Diceros bicornis minor: one gene and its partner. The protein of the gene in region 1 interacts with the protein of each later gene in a pairwise test. Links are inferred from orthologs where the notes say so. Each region holds a gene or a part of one and is shown in the gene's direction. Other genes may lie near its edges. The genes, in order: TBC1D22B and DEUP1.

What was found.
Region 2: the proteins of TBC1D22B (region 1) and DEUP1 interact in binary tests that used the Homo sapiens proteins (3 or more experiments, as listed by UniProt). The link is inferred for Diceros bicornis minor from reciprocal best matches to the Homo sapiens genes TBC1D22B and DEUP1.

Annotation. Positions count from the first base shown.
Region 1 is NC_080753.1:27,780,976-27,790,580, reverse strand, and holds the start of TBC1D22B (TBC1 domain family member 22B), read left to right. Parts: upstream 1-5,435; 5' UTR 5,436-5,488; coding exon 5,489-5,544; intron 5,545-9,605. Other genes in the region: TMEM217 (transmembrane protein 217), read right to left, coding at 5,309-5,435. UniProt on the Homo sapiens protein: May act as a GTPase-activating protein for Rab family protein(s).
Region 2 is NC_080746.1:40,270,047-40,279,776, reverse strand, and holds the start of DEUP1 (deuterosome assembly protein 1), read left to right. Parts: upstream 1-5,492; 5' UTR 5,493-5,503; coding exon 5,504-5,532; intron 5,533-9,730. UniProt on the Homo sapiens protein: Key structural component of the deuterosome, a structure that promotes de novo centriole amplification in multiciliated cells.

The DNA of each region.
Region 1 (9,605 bases):
GATTGGCAAACTACCACCCACGAGCCAAATTTGGTTTGCTGTTTTTGTATGGCCTGTAAGCTAAGAATGGTTTTTACATTTTTTAATTGTTGAAAAAAATTTGAAAGAAGAATACTTTGTGATGTGAAAATTACATAAAATTCAAATTTTCATGTCCACAAATAAACTTTTATTGGAATACAACCACGCTAGTTTATTTTCATATTGTTTGTGGTTGCTTTCATGTTACACCAGCGGAGTTGAGTAATTCCAACAGAGACTGCATGGCCTGCAAAGCCAAAAATATTTATAACCTGGCCCTTTATAGAAAAAGTTTGCCAGCCCCTGGTTTATTGTGTGACATACATTCCATAATAATTTAAAAAATTGTAAAGCCATTCCTGATTGCCTAGTGGTTAAAGTTCAGCACTCTCACCGCTTCAGTGGTCCGAGTTCGTTTCTTGGTCACGGAACCACACCACTCGCCTGTCAGTTGCCATGCTGTGGCGGTGGCTCATATAGAAGAACTAGAAGGACTTACAACTAGGATATACAACCACATGCTGGGGCTTTGGGGAGGGAAAAAAAAAAGGAGGAAGATTGGCAACAGATGTTAGCTCAGGGTGAATCTTTCCCTGAAAAAAAACAAAAAATCTCATTTTACTTGAATGGATAAGGGGGGGAAGTTTAAAAAAAAAAATTGTAGCATTAAAGAAAAATTCCAGAAATAAAAAGATGCATAATTCTATGATCTAACAAAATTTGCTTAATTTTTCCATGTTTTCTTCCAGTCTTTGACAAAACCCATATATTTTTATTGAAATCAGGCAAAGACATTGTGCATTCAGCTTTTTCCCCACTGTATATCATTTCATAAACTTTTTCAATGTGGTATGTAGCAAATTTGCACATTTTAATGGCATAGCATGGTTCAAATTTACAAACCACACACCATAATTTGTGTAACTACCTCCTCATGTTTAAACCTTTATATTCTTTTCATTTTCCCCCTCTTTATTACTGGCTACACCACAAAGAACATCTTTGTACACAGAGCTTTTTTTCCCCTCCTTTTGGCTTATTTCCTTAGAATAAATTCCTAGGAAAGATTCTTTCTAACCTTTCTAAAGATTCTTTCTTAATCTTCCCTCCACGCCCCAAATTCTAACGACTCTCTCTTCCTTTCTTTACTCCAATAACATCTTACTTCTTCAGTATTCCTCTTATCCCTTTGCCTTCCCTAATATAACCGATGTCTCTCATTTGGCTCTTTCTTGTGGTTGCTTAGGGACCAAAAAGTCTCTCTTGCTCTTAGATCCCAGTTTGACTTTACCATTCCTTTGGTGGTCCAACATTCTGCAGTGCACTGTGAGGGCTGTTTCTTGCTCTCATTTCTTAACCTTTCCTCTCATCACAGGGTTCACTCCACTCCTTTGCCAAGGTTAAAGTCCGCCAGTGATCTCTTTGTAACTAAGTCCAAAGACTTTTTTCTCAATTTTTATCTTCCCTATGGAACTCCTGCTCTGAAATGACTTCCCTACTGTACTTTAGGCCTTTTCTCTTTCTTTTTCTGTGTGCTTCTACACATGGTTTATCTCTCCCATAGAACTTTCTTTAAGGATTGGGATATGCCTACCTCTTTTGAGTGCACATTCAACCCATGCATAGCTCATTCCCTTAATTCTACTTTGCCCCTGTCTAAGTTGTTTTACTCTCCTTTGAATGAATATGACGTTGAGGAGGGAAAAGTTAAAAACCTGCAGGCAGACAACATCTACAGTTGTCTCGCAGGCAACAACTCTACTTACAGTTTCAAAACAATCAAACCTTTGAGATAGATTCAGGGATCACAGGTCATACTGTGCTAGTAATAGAGATTTACAAAGTGAGGTCCACAGACCAGCAGCATCAGTGTCACCCGGGAGCTTGTTAGAAATGCAGAATTGTAGCCTCCACCCCAGACCTACTGAATCAGAATCTAGGCTTTTACCATGATCTCCAGGTGATTCAGTAGGTACCCGAAAGTGTGAGAAGCACAAGTCTAGTGGACCAGAGTGCCTGCCACTACAAGCCTCCATCAAGAGTGTTCCAAGGACCCCTTGGGAACCTAAAACCAATGATTTTCACCTCTAGTTGGGCAAAGTTTGGTGTGAGGGTGATCAGGCTGCCACGGCTAACACTCCTTTGATGGACAGGGTTGATTTGATGGATCTCCTGGCTAGGTGGGTGGCCTCCCTCCCTCATCATTCTAGGTAGAGGTTCATTCCTCTGAAGTTGCAAAAGGATTTGAAGAGGACAATCTTTCTCAAGGGAGGAAGGCTGTTCTTCAACCAAGAGCTTAGGCAAGCTTATAGAATCTTTGGTAAAGCGGATACATCCTGCTGGGGATTAGAAAACATGGTTAATATCACCTTTTCCAACAAAAAATGTGCATGAACAACAGAGAACCAAAAGACAAGAATAGTTTATCCTCTTCATTCTCTCATTCAGTAAATATTAAGCACCTACTATGTGCCAAGTGCTATTCTGGGTGCTGGGGTTATAGCAGAGAACAAAACAGACAAGATACCTGCCTTAGTGGAGTTTACATTCTAGGGGATGGGATGACGACAAACAAGTACATAATATGGTAATGAGTGATAGTGCTTTAAAGAAAAATAGAGTGGTGGAGCCCGCTATTTAGACGGGTGGTCAGGGGAGGCCTCCCTAAGATGAAGAGACTTCTGAATGAAATGAGGGAGCAAGCCAACAGATATCTGGAGGAAGAGAATTCCAAGCAGAGAATATGGCTAATACAAAGGTCCCGAGGTAGGCACATGCTTGGAGTGTTCAAGGAACAGCAAAAAGGCCAACCAATGTGACTGGGGCAGATAAGCAAAGAAGAGAGTGGAACCAAATCACGCAGGGTCTTTAAGGAGCTTGGATTGTATGCCAAGTGTGATGGAGCCATTGCAAGGCATTGAGCAGAGGAGTGACATAATCTAACTGGCATTTTATTTAATTAATTAATTTATTTGCTGAGGAAGATTCTCCCTGAGCTAACATCCATTGCCAATCTTCCTCTTTTTTTTTTTTGTTTGAGGAAGATTAACCCTGAGCTAACATCTGTGTCCATCTTCCTCTATTTTGTATGTGCGACGCCTCCAAAGCATGGCTGACGAGTAGGTCCAGGCCCGGGATCGGAACTCACACCGCCTAAGGGGAGCATGCGGAACTTGAACCACTCGGCCACAGGGTCAGCCCCTAACTGACATTTGAAAAGGCTCTCTCTGGCTGCTGTGTGGGGACAGATTCCAAGGGGAGAGGAGTGGAAGCAGGGAGGCCTAACAGGAGGCTGCTGTAGGGACGTGGTTGGTTTAGATTCAGGTGGTCATGCTGGTGGTGAGAAAGGGCCCAACAATCTCAACTTCCCTCACAAAGACTATTTAAAAAGTTATCACCAGATGACTTGAGTGATTTTTTTTTTTAATCTTAGATGGCAAACTGGCTTAGATGGAGCAAAGAGGAGAAATAATAGCACTTCTCTGGGTTGAACAATGTTACCAGCACCCCCGGGGAATCGGTGTTATTTAACATTTCATAAATGATTAAGAAAAAAGAATACTTTGAGACATTTCTAGATACACAAATTATACTCTGCTTTCCACATAGTGAAATGTCAAGTCAATAGGGAGCATCTTCTGGAAAATTTCTAAAGCTATGTGAGTAGTCTGGAAAGTGCCAGGTGACTAGCTACAGGAACAAGTGTAAGACAGCTCACACAGGGGGAGACAATTCAGATGATACCTTTAAGATAATCAACTCTGAACTGCCAGTTGCCACCAAGGAAAGTGATCTAGAAATTGCTGTCGATTATCCTTTCAAGACACCAGCTCTTGTCAAGTCCAAAATGCCAGCAAAAGTTCTGGGTGGTGTTTTGAGAAAACACCAGTTTCAACAAAACCTCAGGAAACCCCTCCTGGAGTTCAGTGTGCAGTGCTGGTCACCACAGCCTAAAAAAAAAACCAGAGCCAAAGAAAGGCAGCTAAAATGACTAACAGGCTAGAGGGGCTTTTGTTTGATGCATTAAATGCCCATAAATGTGACTGAGACAAGATAAGATGAAAGTCTATAAAAGCATGAAAGAGTCAGAGAAAGTAAAAATAGCCCTTTTCATACAATCTCATGATTGTGAAATTAGGGGACAAAAGAAGCTTGAAAATGGGGGTAATGTCTATGTAGAAAGAGGCCATTGGAGGGCATATAAAAGAAGGTCCTTCTTTAGACAGGAGGTCCTTAAGCATTCTCCAGTATGTGGAAGGACATGTGGTAGCAGTAAACAGGAGTGGGGATGGGGGACAACCAGCCCACCTCAACAGTAATTTGTTGGGACAAAAACTACTCTGGACTTGGGTGTGCCCCCTGCCTCCCCCCACCCCACCCCATCACTGTGACATACAACCACAGGAACTCAGAGCAAAAACACCAAGACATGCAAAGGATTTAAATGCTAATATTAAATCCCATTCTGAGTCAAAATTAGATTGAAAATAAATTAAAGAGTGAAAGATTTATAATAGATTAATAAGGGAAATTAAGATGTTTGGGAGTACATCCTTAATCAGTGATTCATGCCATGGAGATATTCTATGTCCTTGCAAGAAATGTTACTCGGTAGTCTAAATTGGATGGATAAAATAAGAACATTCCCTAAACACTATTTGTCAGCATCTAGGTTCTTATAGTCAGAAAGTGACAGTTATTGACTGAAAGAGGGATTAGACCATTTGAACTTCACCCACGGCTTAAGTCCTTTGGCAGTGTTCAATTAGCAGAAGAGATGGAGACTCTGACGAACTAACGGTTACTCACGTGTGGAACAGTTAGCAGCCCTGGGCTATCGGATCCGTATTAGTCTTCCTTCACAGAATTAAAAAAAAGAAAAAAAATCCGGGTCCACGTAACAGAGAAGGGGAGGGTAATAACTAGAGTATAATTGAGTTGGGAGATGTTAAAAACGGGCTGCAACCAACACATAGGACCTTACTTTTAGGTCAAAGATTTATGTATATTAATACATATGCTCTCTCTTTTCAAAAAATATTAGACTCAGAAACCTCGTTCTCCCCAAGATAAATAGTATCCTTTCCTTCTTCCCCTAGGTCCCTTACTTTACCTGCCTCTTCCCCTCCCGGGCAGTGGGAACTTTCAGCCCCGCCTCCCTGCTCGTCCAAGCTCCGCCTTCCTGGTCCACCTGTGTGCCCAGCCCCTGACGTTACCGCTCGGCTTCAGCGGCCTGCAGGATTCCGGCTCCCGATTGGTCCGTCCCACCACGGTCTGCGCAGCCCACCAATGGCAGCTGCGCTGGGTTGGGGGGTGCCCACATCCAAGATGGCGCCTCCAGCAGCTGGGAGCGGGTGACCGGCGGCTTGGAAGCGGCCTGGGTTGGCCCTCCGATTGCGGGGTCCTGGGGGCATCTCGCCAGGTACCACCCCCGGCCCGCCTACAAGGCCTTCCCCGGGCCAGAGCGATGGCCGCCGAGAACAGCAAGCAGTTTTGGAAGAGGAGCGCCAAGCTGCCGGGGAGGTGAGCCCAGGACGCTGAGGGAGAGGGGATTGGACCAAACCGTTCCAGATCCTAAACCATAAATCCCGCGGGCCTGGGGCGCCACCGACCCCGGAAGGCTGGTTTGGGGAATTTGGGCTGGAAGAGATGGGGCTGCCTGGTGGCGGCAGGACAGCTGTCAGGCAGAGGACCAGGCAGCGAGCTTTGGTGATGGCTGGTTGTGGGAGCAGACTGGGGTCTGGGGGCGGAGGGCTCAGGAGGGGCTGCCCTCAGCCGGGAGGTGGCTGAAGTCCTGGGGTTAGAGACAGTGGAGTTGGATGAGTAGCCAGTGTCGGTCCTGGGTTAGGAGGGCCATCCCCAGAGCTGCTTTTCGCTTTAAAAAGAACTCCCTCTTGGTGGTCGGGGGGGCGGTCTCCACCACACACAGGTAGTTGTTTGCACGAGGATGGCCCCTTCTCTTGCTCCCCGAGCTCAGTGCGTACGAATCTTTCCCCTGGACTCCCAGGAGGTTCTGGTGGGCGCTTGGGACCGTCTGCGAGGGGACAGGAAAAGTGAGGAAAATTCCCAAGTTTGACCTAACTTTAAGTTGGTTTTTTCCCATTAGGAATTAATACAGGGTGACCCAAGAATCGAAGTTATTTCTTTAGCATTTTCTAAGGATTTATTCAACCCTAAGTGGCTTCTTCCCCCCTGCGTTGTAGTGTTCTTCTTGTGCAAATGCACTAAATTCTTTCTTTCTTCAGTTATTTAGTTGGAGAGTTGACTTTCTAAGCTTTTTTTTTTCCCTTTTTGGTGTATGTTGAGACGCTTAGCAGTTGTACATCCATCAATCTGCCGTTGATTTATAGTTTCAATTTGTTTTGGGCAGTCTTGAGAAGTATAAAGAAGAGTGTATGTTTCAGTAGTGAATTTAAGATTTCTGCCAGCTACAGTCTACTTGGTGATGAAATTCATGTTTGGTTGGGCCCCACATGCAGCCTTTACTAATTGATTCAGGCCTTATCCTCCTGGGATAATCCTTTGAACTTGTGGCCTTTTTTTCTTTTTTAATAGCAAGAGAGAAATGAGGGTCAGTGGTGGCTACAGAGCAGTCTTATTTTATTCAAGATCCTGTTAGACATATGGAGAATAGAGTGTGAATCAGCTTTTAGCAATATAGTATTAAAATAATGCAAGGCAATACAGAGATAGCTTCACATTGAAGTGCTGTGGAATTACAGTGTTAATATTACTGCTAAAGACTTCTATGTTTTTAGATAAGCATCACTTCCTGCCAACTGATTCCTTTTCCTTCCTGGTCTAGTGAGCTCTCCTCTCTCGCTAACTGCTGTTCTCTGGGGTTTTCCATGGTGAGATCATTAAATTTCAAATCCTAAGGTTATGATCAGAATCAGTGGGAAAACTGTTAAATCAGGAAGCAGTATTTGGGATGTGGGACATGGCATGGTCTTTTGTGCCTACTGATTGCTGGTTGTTATTTACAATTTTTGTTTTCTCTGTTTCTTCTTTTGGACTGTGGGAATGGTCAGCCTTTCTGAAAGCACTACTTTCGTGAGCTAGGAAGAGGAGTCTTTTTGGTTTCTTAAGTTTCTGGCTTCCTTTTTCATTTTGAAGAGGAATATAGAGGGATAATGGAGAGAACATTTGAGTTCAGAAAGATTTGGGTTATTTTTTGGACTCTCTTACCTCTGTGATCAAGGACAAATGATTTACTCAATCTCTCTAGGCCTCAGTTTCCTTATCTGTGAAATGAGGATACAAATACTTTCCACAGGGTTACCGTGAGTCCTAAATTAAACATCCTATTTGTAAAGAACCTAGGACAGTGTTTATTTAGCACATTATAGTTGCTCAATGAATACTAGTTATTAGTATTACTGTTATTATTAGAGCAAGTAAACATTTGAAAGAATGTTTTCTCAGATCCTTACCCCAGTACTATGTATTTATGTTCATTGTTTATTTTAAGGCATTAAAATGTTGCCCCAATTCATAATAGTTTTTAGTACCTTGCTTGTGGAAGAGAAGTAGTGTTCAGCTGTGTGCTCTTAGCAGGGAAAGCCCTGGGAGCCCCTGATTGTGGGAGAATACTAAAGTTCTTTTAGATAGAAAGTGCTTTGATTTAAGGAAAATGTTAGGGCATTTTCTCAAGAATAGAACTTTTGTATTTTTACTCTTTCAGTCTTAGTGAAGTAAAACTTTCTCCTGGGTGGGGAAATGACACAGATGACTGTGTCTAAGCCCATGGCAACCTAGAAGTGAAACTAGTTTACTCTGCAAATTGAAAAGTAAAAATTCAAAGCAGTAGCAGATTACCTTCAAATTCTTTGGTTACGATCAAGCAACTTTAATGACAACAAATAGGAATTATATATAGTACAATAGCCTAAGTTCAAAATGAATTAAACATCCTTTTTAAAAATAACAGCTTTATTGAGATATAATTCACATACCCTAAAAATTCACACTTGTAAAGTGTACAATTCAGTAGTATTTAGTATATTCATACTAACTGTCTAGTATAGATGGTTTTGTGCAACCATCACCATTAATTTCAGCACATTTTCTTCACCCCCAAAAGAAACTTTGTATCCATTACTAGTCACTTCCTGTCTCCCCCTCCCTCCAGTCCCTGGCAACCACTAATCTTTCTGTTTCTATGGATTTACCTATTCTGGACATTTCATATAAATGGAATAATGTGATTTGAGGCCTTTTGTGACTGGCTGTTTTTATTAAGCATAATTTTTTTTAGGCTCATGCATGTTGTAGCATGTATCAGTATTTCATTCCTTTTTGTGGCTAAATAATATTCCATTGTGTGGATATACCTTTGTTTATCCATTCATTTGGCATTTGGGTTGTTTTCACTTTTTGGGTATTATGACTAATGCTGCTGTGAAATTCGTGTGCAGGTCTTTGTGTGGATGTATGTTTTCCATTCTTCTGAGTATATGTAGGAGTGGAACTGCTGGGTCCTATGGTAACTTGATGGAATTAAACATCTTTTTAAGTTCTCTCAGTTATTCCTAAGAGCCCCATGTGCTTATTACATCAAATGGTCCTTGTGCAGATGCCTAGGAAGATAGGAGGCATGTGGTTGGGAGTGCAGGCTCTGGAAACTGGGAACCAGTAGATAAATAAGTTCTGGACATCTGATGCACAGCATAGTGATTATAGTCAACAGCACTGTATTATAAATGTCAGAGTTGCTAAGAGACTAGATCTTAATTGTTCTCACCACAAAAAGGAAATAGTAATTATGTGGCATGATAGAGGTGTTAGCTGACACTATGGTGGTAATCATATTGCAATATATAAATGTATCAAACCAACACATCGTACACTTTAAATGTACACAATATTATATGTCAACTATATCTCAAAAAAAAAAAAAAGGAATGCAGGTTTTGGAACTTGACTGCCTGGGTTCAAATCCCAGCTCTGCCACTTCCTTGCACTGTGACCTTGGGCAAGTTACTTAACCTCTCTGTGCCTCAGTCTCCTTATCTGTAAAATGGGGACAGAGTATGTGCCCCATAAGGCAGTTATGAGGATTAAATGAGATAATGCATAGAAAGTGCCTAGGAGAAACTCAGTAATATTAGCTATTATGAAAATGATAGTTGTGATTACAGTAGCTCCTGTTTTTATTTGTTTCTCCCCCTTGCTCTAGTTTCTGAAACTGGAATTGAAAAACTTTGATCAGCGGTGTGTCTGGAGCCCCCAGTGAGTCCTGAGCTCGGTGGGGGTGGGGGTGGGGGTGGGGTGGGCAGGCATCACCTGTTGTTAATTAGGCAGAGGGTTTTTGGAGGCACAGGGAAGCCTAATGCAGGGCAGCTATGGCTATCAGGTGTTCATTAGTGATGAGGAGATGATTTTGAGCCATGTTCTCAAACTTGAGTGAGTCACCTGGAGGACTTGTGAGTTTCTGATCCAGTAGGTCTGAGGTGGGACCTGAGAGGTTGAGCTTCTAAGAAGTTCCTAAGTGATACTGCTGCTGCTAATCTGGGCTGCGCTTTGAGAACCACTGAGAAAAGAGCCCTGAATTAGACTGAAAGAATCCTGAGTTCTGTTTGGGG
Region 2 (9,730 bases), on another chromosome or scaffold:
TTCACCATTTTCCTGATGGCAAAGCCCTTTGGGGTTCCAGCTTAAAGGCAGAGAGTAGTCATTGACTCCCTTCCTGGGGTGAGCCCAGGCTTTGTCTTTTGTCCCTTTTGTTTCACAAGACCACAAAAACTGCTGCTCAGTTTTTCTTCCAGAGCATCAAATACTTCCCAGGCAAAAGCAGAACTAAATGGAGGGCCCACTTCTCCGGGTTCTTGCCTTTTGCTAGATTTTGACCCAATAATTTCTCACTATCCTATTAGCTTGAAACCTAAAAGGTTTTAACAGAGATGAGCTCTTGGAAAGAGTTGACCTATGGCTCCAAATTTGTTTTCTCCACTGGGGACCTGTCACTTCAGCATTGCCCGCACCATGCCTGATTCCAGGAAATAAGCTATTCCATCTATGAAACTTTAGCTCAGGACTGTACAAAATCTTTGGTTCCCCTAAATATCCAAGAGAAGATGACATTTTCAAAACCACAGTGCTGAACATTAAGGGTTTATAAGAAGGACAAGTATAGAAAAAAAATCATGATAGCCGTTTTCCAAAGAATTGGGTTTTGTTTTCTGAACCTAAAATGAGACCTGGTGTTTCTAATTCCCAACAAGAAGCCGTACTACCTTGGCACCTGGGCCCCTGGCCAGCCAGGACTCAGAGGTAAGGCCCTCCCAACTAGTCTAAATTCTCTTTGCAGAAGCAGCCTTTACTAGGAGAATTGACAGGACTGTGAGTCATGATGCAGGGAAGGCCTCACTCTGCCCCACTAAGGACCCCAGTTATGCATTTCTCTTCAGATGCCCAACCCCTCTCCCAACCCAGAGAAAGTTAATGAGGATTTTGAGGGAGGAGATTTTCATAGTCCCTCTCAAATCACACCTACATAATTTAGAATCTCTCTCATTGCCTCACCCTTCTCTCACTGCACAACCCTACTTAATGAAGAGCTTTAGTACTCTGACCAGGCACCGGTATTCTAGGACTGCACTGTCCAATATGGTAGCCACCAGTCACATGTGGCCATTGACACTTGAATATGGCTTTATGAACTGATGGTGCTGTATGTATAAACCACACAACAGATTTTGAAGATTTAGTATGAAAAAAATGTAAAATATCTCAATAATTTTCTATATTGTCTACACGTTGAAATGATATTTTGGATATATTCGGTTAAATAAATATATTATTAAAAGTAACTTTACTAGTTTCTTTTTACTTTTTGAATTTGCCTACCAAACTATTTAAAATTACATAAGTGGTTACATTATACTTCTATTGGACAGCACTGCCTCTAGAGTGACCTTGGTTCTAAAGACTGAATCTCCTCTTCCTGAATGGTTATTCTCACAACTAGAAAATGTATTGAAGTATCTCCAGAAAATTCCTTAAACTTGCTTCCATTTATAGAATTAGCATGAAACAATAAGAAAAAAAAAAAAACCTAGATTCTAATCGTTATTTGTGTCATTAACCAGCAATGAAACTGGTCAAATTATTTTAACTCTTTGGGTCTGAGTTTCTTTATGTAAAAAGAAGGAGTCAGACTAGGTCCCCTCTATGGTTTCTTCCAATTCTATGATTATATTATTATTATTATGTTAAAAAAATTTCTAAAATATTTTTCATGTATAAGATAGACTTAGCTTTTCATTGTAATGTATATATAATTTTGAACCTTCTTTTGAAAATGATAGAAAAATAGATATTTCCTTGTTGATAAAACGACAGACATCAAGCTAATTTATATAACCTTGCATATGTTAAAGCTGCATGTTCATTTTCTGTACTACTGTTATAAATTTTGCCATGAAAACTGTTTTGTTAATGAAGGTTTTTCATTTTTTAAGGTTCAGTCTATGGCTAAGATTATTATTTATTCTATATAATTGGTCCCTTAGCTTTTCTTCCATAGATCATCCTCATTCCTCAGCCATATATGTTCCCTATACTTTCTTTTGACCATTTCTGGTTGTATTTTATATCTTATTCTGATCTTCCTGTGTCCTCCAATTCTCTTTCAGGACTAAGCTCTCTTGCCACCTCTCACTAGCACCTGGTCACACTCTTGCCCTTCTTTAGAGTCAGGGACTTTCCACTCTCCTCCTCCCTTTCAAAACAATTTCACCTGAAAAGATCTAATCATAGTCAGGTACATTTCAGGGTAAATTCAAGTCTTTGCAGTTACTTCTTACTTGGGGGGTGAGAGTTGGGAGAGAGGTGGGAGGGGTAGGTCTGTGCATTTTAAGCCTTAAGTCTCATCCAGAAATGAAAGGCTTTATTCCTATTAAATTGGAAGGGGTGTTTCTATTCTATATTTAAATTTCCTTAAAATCCATCACAGTATGTGAACTCGCACATACTTAGGCTTTGCGAGCCCTGCCCACACGTACTCTTTCTCGTGAAAATGTGGCTTTAAATACATCTACAGGTACCTATGTAAGATTCTGACTGCTAAAGAGACCTTCTCAACATTAATTTTTGGACACGTTTGAAGAGCACTTGATTTGGAGCAAGATGATCTGGGTTCATATCTTAGCTGCACTTGAACTAGATGTACCATCTTGGACAAATCCTTTATTCTCTCTAAGCCTTAGGTTCCTAATCTGCTAAAAGGAGCTATAATAACACCTGTTACACTTGTGTCACATGGTATTGCTGAGCATCTAAAGAAATAGTAAACAGCTAAGTACTTACCAATGGTAAAGAGCTTCACAGCATGAGTGATATTGGGCATCCTGAAACTTTATTAAATTTTGTTCCTAGTTTCCTTTCCCAGATCAGAACAAATACATTGACCCATTCAGTTTAGACAAGGATAAAGAATATGACTAAGGTTTTCAGAATAATGAAAACTTTCAAGTTAAGATGAAATGATCACTGTCTTCATTCAATCATAATACTAGAGCTATGAAACACGTATTAGGACTAATAACCTGAGTTACTTTACACAATTCATCTATGAAACTCAATTTGTCAAGAAACAGCAAATGGTTTCTTGTAATTCAGATGGAACCTGGATAGAGGGATTGGGGTCAGTATTAAATTGACAGCCATATTAAAGCAGCAAATTAGTGTTAATGTTATGAAAGGGGATTGCAAATAAAAGATTTTAAGAATTAAAAATTAATCGACTGGATGTATTAGGAAGGAATTCTCTTCCTAAAATAGATGCAAGAATATTATCCAAACACAAAATTCAAGTGCTTAAAAATATTCAAGGTATCAGTAGAAAAAAAAATGTGTATATATATATATATGTGTGTGTGTATGCATATGTATATAAGTATATATTCTCTCTTACCATTTCTTTGAAATCAAGACCGTGAGACAGAGCTTCTCTCATCAATTATTCTTGGAATTTGGTGAAAAAGGAAAGAATTTGGAATCAGTCACTCTGGATTCCGTCCGCGTTCCCCCACTTCGGAGCTATTTCCTTCTCCCTAAAAGGGAGGCAACTCTGTCTGCTCCGCCTAACTCGCAGAGTTGTTCTAAGGCCCCAATGCGCTGGATTGGAAAGACAGGTATAGTTGCTGCTGTTATCGCGACCAGAGTAGCTGTGCACTGAGCAATGCAGTTAAAAAAAAATCCAGCTCTTCCCAGCTGGAAGACACCTTGGTGAATAGAAAGGCAGCTCTCTTTACCCCTAATCTATTTCAAATTTTTCATACCACTTCAAACGTAGGTAAGAGGGAGGAAGGCCAGGGGGAGTTTTAAGGAACTTGGATGCAGAACCCTCCCCTCCTCCCAGCTCTTTCTATTTGCTCTTTCCTTATTTCGTTCTTTCACTCATTCAACAAATGTTTCTCCGACCCTGCTGGGTGCCGGACACTGGGCTAGACAGTGAGAGCCACGAGAGGAAAGGACCCAGAATGGGGGCTCGGGAGCCCTGGGTGTAGTGAGCAGACGCTCGATGCGTAACTGCGGGACAGCGGTGACCCGGGGAGCCCCCGCAAGGCCGCGCCCGCCGCCGCCCTCCGCCGGTGCGCCCGCTGCCGCAGCCGAGCCATTTTCCCCCCCGCCCCGCGTCCCGGCCGCGGCGAGTTCGGGCCGCGTCCCCATGGCAACCGGTGGCGGCGTGGCGGGCCGGGGCTGGCGGGGAGGGAGAGGCCACAACGGCCTTGGCGGCCGCGCGGCGGGCGGGCCCGGGCGGCGGGAGCGCGGCGGCGGGCGGCGGGGCCCCTCGGGGCGGACCGGGCTGGCGGTGACCCCGGCGATCCTGCTCCCGGGGCTCCAGACCGCTCGGGGGAGCGCGGCGCGGCGCAGGTAACCCGCCCCGGCCTGTATGACCCCGCCTCGGCCCCTGACCCTCGCCCTCGCCCTCGCCCCCGCCCCTCGGCCGGGCGGGCTTGCCCGAGAGGAGCGGGGGACCCCAACCCAAGCTGGCTGGGTTTGAACCGTGCGCGGGGTGGGGCGGGGCTCAAGGAGTCGGGTTTGGGGCCCGGGGCGCGCGGCGGGTGGACAGAGCCAGGGCTCAGGACGGTCCTTGCAGAAGCCAGAGCAGAGAGTCTTCCTAAATTAGAAGATCTAGGTTCTAGATCTTGCCTTGGGCAAGTCAGCTAGCTTGTCTGTGCCTCAGTTTCCCTGACGTTACAGTGAAGGATTTTGAGGACCTACAAAATCAATTTATTCATCTGTCCGTTCTGGTCAAGTTCTCGTTCCCCATTCCCACTCCTCGCCCGTCCTCTCCACACACAATCCCAGAGTCTTAAATTCCTTTAATTTGAAGTGACATGAGCCTGGAAATCTTTCTCCTTCTGTTTCTCCCATCTTAAATACTACTTAATTGACTTTTATTCAGTGATTCAGCGGAGTGGAAGTCCTTTTCAATACTTTGTCCATTTATCCTCATAGATTATTTTTTAATTAAAACTTTGTTGCTGGGAAAAACTTTCTTTTTACTTTGGGCAAGTACTAACATCCCTATTTTATCAAAAGGCTGAGGAGGTGCCCACAGACCCGTTGAAGAATTGTAAGATTTCTCTTTTTAGGCAATTCTTAGCCTTATCGTCTTAAATCTCATGGTATATTCATTCTAACAAAACCGGGAAAGAGCCAAAGAAAGAATGTACTCAAACAAAGGCAAACTTTTCCGGGATCCACAGAAAGGCAAGTTGGAGAACATTTAGTTGGATCTCCTGTTGAAGAGGAATTCTATTTCACTCATCTCGTGTACTGAGCACTTTGCAACATACCTGGCACCAAGCTGCTGTTCAGTAGAGTGGATGAATGGTCATTTCAGTCAGTACCACATATTTCAACTTATCGCTAAGCCAATGTCATAAATGCATGGGGGCACTAAAAAAAAGGAAAAAGACCAAATTTCTACATTTTCTAGAACCAAAGGCTACTACACTCAGAAAAACTCATACTACATGGTTTGCCAGTAGCAGAATTTTCTTGTTTTATATGTTAATAAGCATAAGCATTTAAGGACTCTAGATCATTTTCCCCCCTAACAGATTAAAAATCAAGAAATATAAACCAGGTGCAGCAGTTTCTTGACATGGAGAAACAAGCCCAAAATACAATGGGGTAAGTGCTGAGAAATTTGTATTGAATGAGTTGGTACTTAACTATGCCAAAAATTCCCTGATGATGCATGAATTTTGAAATTTAGTGTTAATAGGATGTGCCAATTATTTTCGGTGAGGAGCATGGGGGGAATTCAAGTGACTCTGATTAAGAATCTATAGTGTGAGTCTTTCCAATTTTGACTATGGATCTGCACTCAAAAATAACCATTTTCTAACTTTCAGTGCATTTTTCCAGTGTTTTATGGTGGCGGGTGCCCACGCAGGCCTCCTGTGCTCTTGGGTTTCACAGTGCAGCAGCTCCTAGCCAGGTGGCTCCTGTCTTGCTTCATCGAGTGTCTCAAGCTTCCCTCCACACTTGCCCTTAAGGCTGAACTCAACACTTAAACGTAGCCTCAAAACAGAGTTAGCTCCTCAAAACAACAAAGAACTGGGTATCAAACCAAAAGTTTCACGAAGAGATAAGGAATAGGATTTGCATAACATTTGCCATCGTAAAAAATTAAATTCCTTTTCACAAACATCTGTGCCCACCCCTTTCCTGCCAGGAGCACCACAAAGGTTTCTCATCCTATTTCATTAGCCAGCTAGCCACTGGCTGCCCCAGAGCTGGGAGGGGAGAGGGGTAGGAACAATGGGTACGGGTGGTACTATAGTGCCCAACCTTGACCGTGACTTTCAACTATTCTACTCAGAACATGACTTTGACACCAGGCTAAAGGAAAGCTGCACAAGTCTGGATAATAATAGCTATCACTTTTTAAACTCCTACTGCATACTCCTCCTTAACAACAGCCATGCTAGGTATCATTCTCATTTTACAACTAAGAAAATGAAACATATTAGTTAGAGTATAGTCTAAGCTCTTGTAACAAAGAGACCCCAAAATACAGTGGTTTAAATAAGATTGAAGTTTATTTCTGTTTCGTATACAAGTTCAGAGACAAGCAGACCAGGACTGGTAGGGCAGCTCTGCCATCCTCACTACATGATTTCCATCTCTGGACCCAAAGTGATTGCTTACGCTCCCTCCATCATGACTGTGCTTCTGCCAGAGGAAAGGGGAAAGGGCAAGAGGAAGGAGTAAGACCCTCCTTTTAGGAGTATGACCTGGAAGTGGCAGGCCTCACTTCTGTTCACTTCTCATTGGCCAGAACTTAATCCTAGAGCTATAGGTAGCTGCAAGGAAGGCTGGGAAGTGTGGTCTCTAACTGGGCAGCCATGTGGTCAATTAAAGCTTAGAAATTCTATAATAAAAGAAAGAAGAATGGATACTGGTGGACAACTAGCAGCCTCTGCCACAGAGTTCAGAAAGGTAGAAAGAAAAAGAAATAAAGCAGGCTAAGGATGAGAGGAGTAGAGTGTGAATGGGGTGATCAAACAAGGATTCCTTGAAAAGGTGGCTGGCACTGGATCTGAGATTGTGTCTGGGCAAAGGGAGTTCCAGACAGCAGGAAGAGAAAGTGCACAGGCCTGAGGTGGGCGCTTTCACACAGAATGTTTGTAATGTGGTTGAATCATGATTCTCTGACATCTGGGTTATAATAGGCTTTAATTTTAATTTATCTATGATTTCTCCCAATTATAGGTGTTTGTATTTGTGCCGTCGTAATCAACCTAAATTCCTTCTAATCAAAACAGTCATATTTAAGTGAGTTTGTTCTTTTTATTTGTTTTTAGAATGTGTGTCCAGAACATAAATAATTATAGAATGAATAAATGATCTATTTTATTGGCCTTTTTAAGAGAACCATATCTAGATTTTGCTTTGTTTTTGTTTTCTTATTCATGAATTTCTACTCTTATTAATTTGTCCTTTTATGATTTAATTTACTTATCTTATTCTTTTGATTTTTTAGTTGAAATTTGTGTTTCAGCTATTTCCATGATTTCTGGGTTTCATGATTTCTTTACATAATAAAAGCGTTTAAAGCTAAAGTTCTTCCCGCATACAGCTTTGCTGCTGGCCGTAGGATTAGTATTCCAGTCTCATTTTCTAAATAGTCTATTTTCAACTTTGATTTCCTCTTTGGCTGAAGAGATATTTAGGAGAGGTAACTTCCAGGGATGCTTAATTATCTTTTTATTGTTACTTTCTAATCCTCCTACCACCACGGTCATAGAATATGGCCTATATGATATTTCAGTTTCATTAAGATGAGTCTTGTGATCTGTTGCATGATCAACTTTTATAAATGTCCTTTGGACATTTGAAAACAAATGTATATTCTCTATTGGTTACGTAAAAGTTTAAAAAAATTATGCATATATAGTCACACCTTTTAATTGTTATTATTATGTTTAAATTATGTTTTTCAAATCCACTGTTACCTTACTTTTTGTCTATTTGATCTGTCAAATTTTAGGACAGACCTTTACTATAATTGTGGTTTTGTCTGATTCTTCTTGTATTTCAAGTAGTTTTTTTTACATATTACAGTGTTCTGTTGCTCAATGTATTGAGGTTCATAGATGTTATGTCTTCTTGGTATATTATATGATTTAGCTTTATAAAATATCTCACAAGTATAAGTTAATGTTTTTTTGTTTGAATTCTACCTTGCCTGATATTGATATCGCCAACTCTGCTCTCTTTTTAATTTAATTTAGTCTGTAACATCCTTGTTCATCCCCTTTGTAAAGAGAAAAAACTCAGTCTTTTCCTTTCTATGTAGGGAAAAACCCCATTCTTCCCTACTATGTCTTTCTTCCCTGTGTGTCTCTTTTACCTTCAAGAAGTGAAGAGAGCACTTCACTTCTGACACTTCTGGTCACCAAATGTGTGAAAGTTTTTTCCCCACCAAGCAATTCTCTGTAACACCAGCTGGTTGTCCTACAATTTAACTCAATTCTGGCACTGTCTACCTGGAGACAGCGTCAGATCCCACAGGGTAAGGCCTCAGTCCCACAAGACTGCGCCCTCCACTTCAAGCACCAGTTGCAACCCTAGGTTGTCACCTGTGCTTGTGACCAACTGGCTATAGATCTGAGATTCCAATGACCCCTCCTTGGGTTCGAATAATTTGCTAAAGCGGCTCACAGAACTCAGGGAAACACTGTTTATCAGTTTATTAAAGTATACGATAAAGGATACAGTGGAATATCCAGATGGAAGAGACATATAGGGTGAGCTATGTGGGAAGGGGTGCAGAGCTTCAGTGCCCTGTCCAGGCTTACCACTCTCCCAGCACCTCCGTGTGTTCACCAACCCAGAAGCTCTCCGAACCCCATACTTTTGGGATTTTAGGGAGGCTTCATCACATAGACATGATCGATCATTAACTCCATTTTCAGCCCTTCTCCCTTCACAAGAGAATGGGCAGAGAGACTGAAAATTCCAAGCTTCTAATCATGACTTGGTCTTTCCCGTGGCCAGTCCCCATCCAGGAGCTATCCAGGAGCCCACCTGGAGTCACCTCATTAGAACAAAAGACACTCCTGTCCTCCAGGAAATTACCAGGGTTTCAGGAGCCCTGTGTCAGGAACTGGGGTCCAAGACCCATATTAGAATAAGAAATGCTCCTGGTGTTCTTATCACCCAGGAAAATACATGGGTTTTAGGAGCCCTGTACCAGGAACTGGGGACACAGACTAAAATACGCTTTCTATGATCTCACACCCTTGTTTTCAGTCTTTTTTATGTCATATTGTGTCTCTCGTAAATAGTGTATGGTTAGATTAAAATATATATACCTCAGTTGGAGAGTCTTTGCCATTAAAAAGAGGATTTTATGATCACTAACGTTTGACCCTTTTTGCTTTCCCAACATTTGCTACTCAATCTTGATTTCTTTTTCCTCTTTTTCTCTTAGAAGTTCTGCATCTTATTTCATAAGTTGTTAATTTATATTTTTTACAAACATTTTAAATTTGGGTTTCTCTTTTGGCATCCTGAATTTTAACTGTAACTTTGGCATCCCTCAGCCCTCATAAGACTTAACCCTTAGTCTTGTCTTTGCTTCCCCGTTCCCTTATCCTACCTCCAAGAATAATCTGGATTTCTAGTTCCTGATGGCTATTAATTTATATGTAAATTATTACATATAGCATAATGTTAATTATTTTATTCTTCTTTTATTTAAGAATCCTTTTTTAACAGCTGTAAGTTTGATTGCATTGCTTATTACTATTATTTGTATACAAAATCTTCCCTGTTCTTAATTTTAAAATTTTTTTGAATTTATTTTTAATGTGACTGA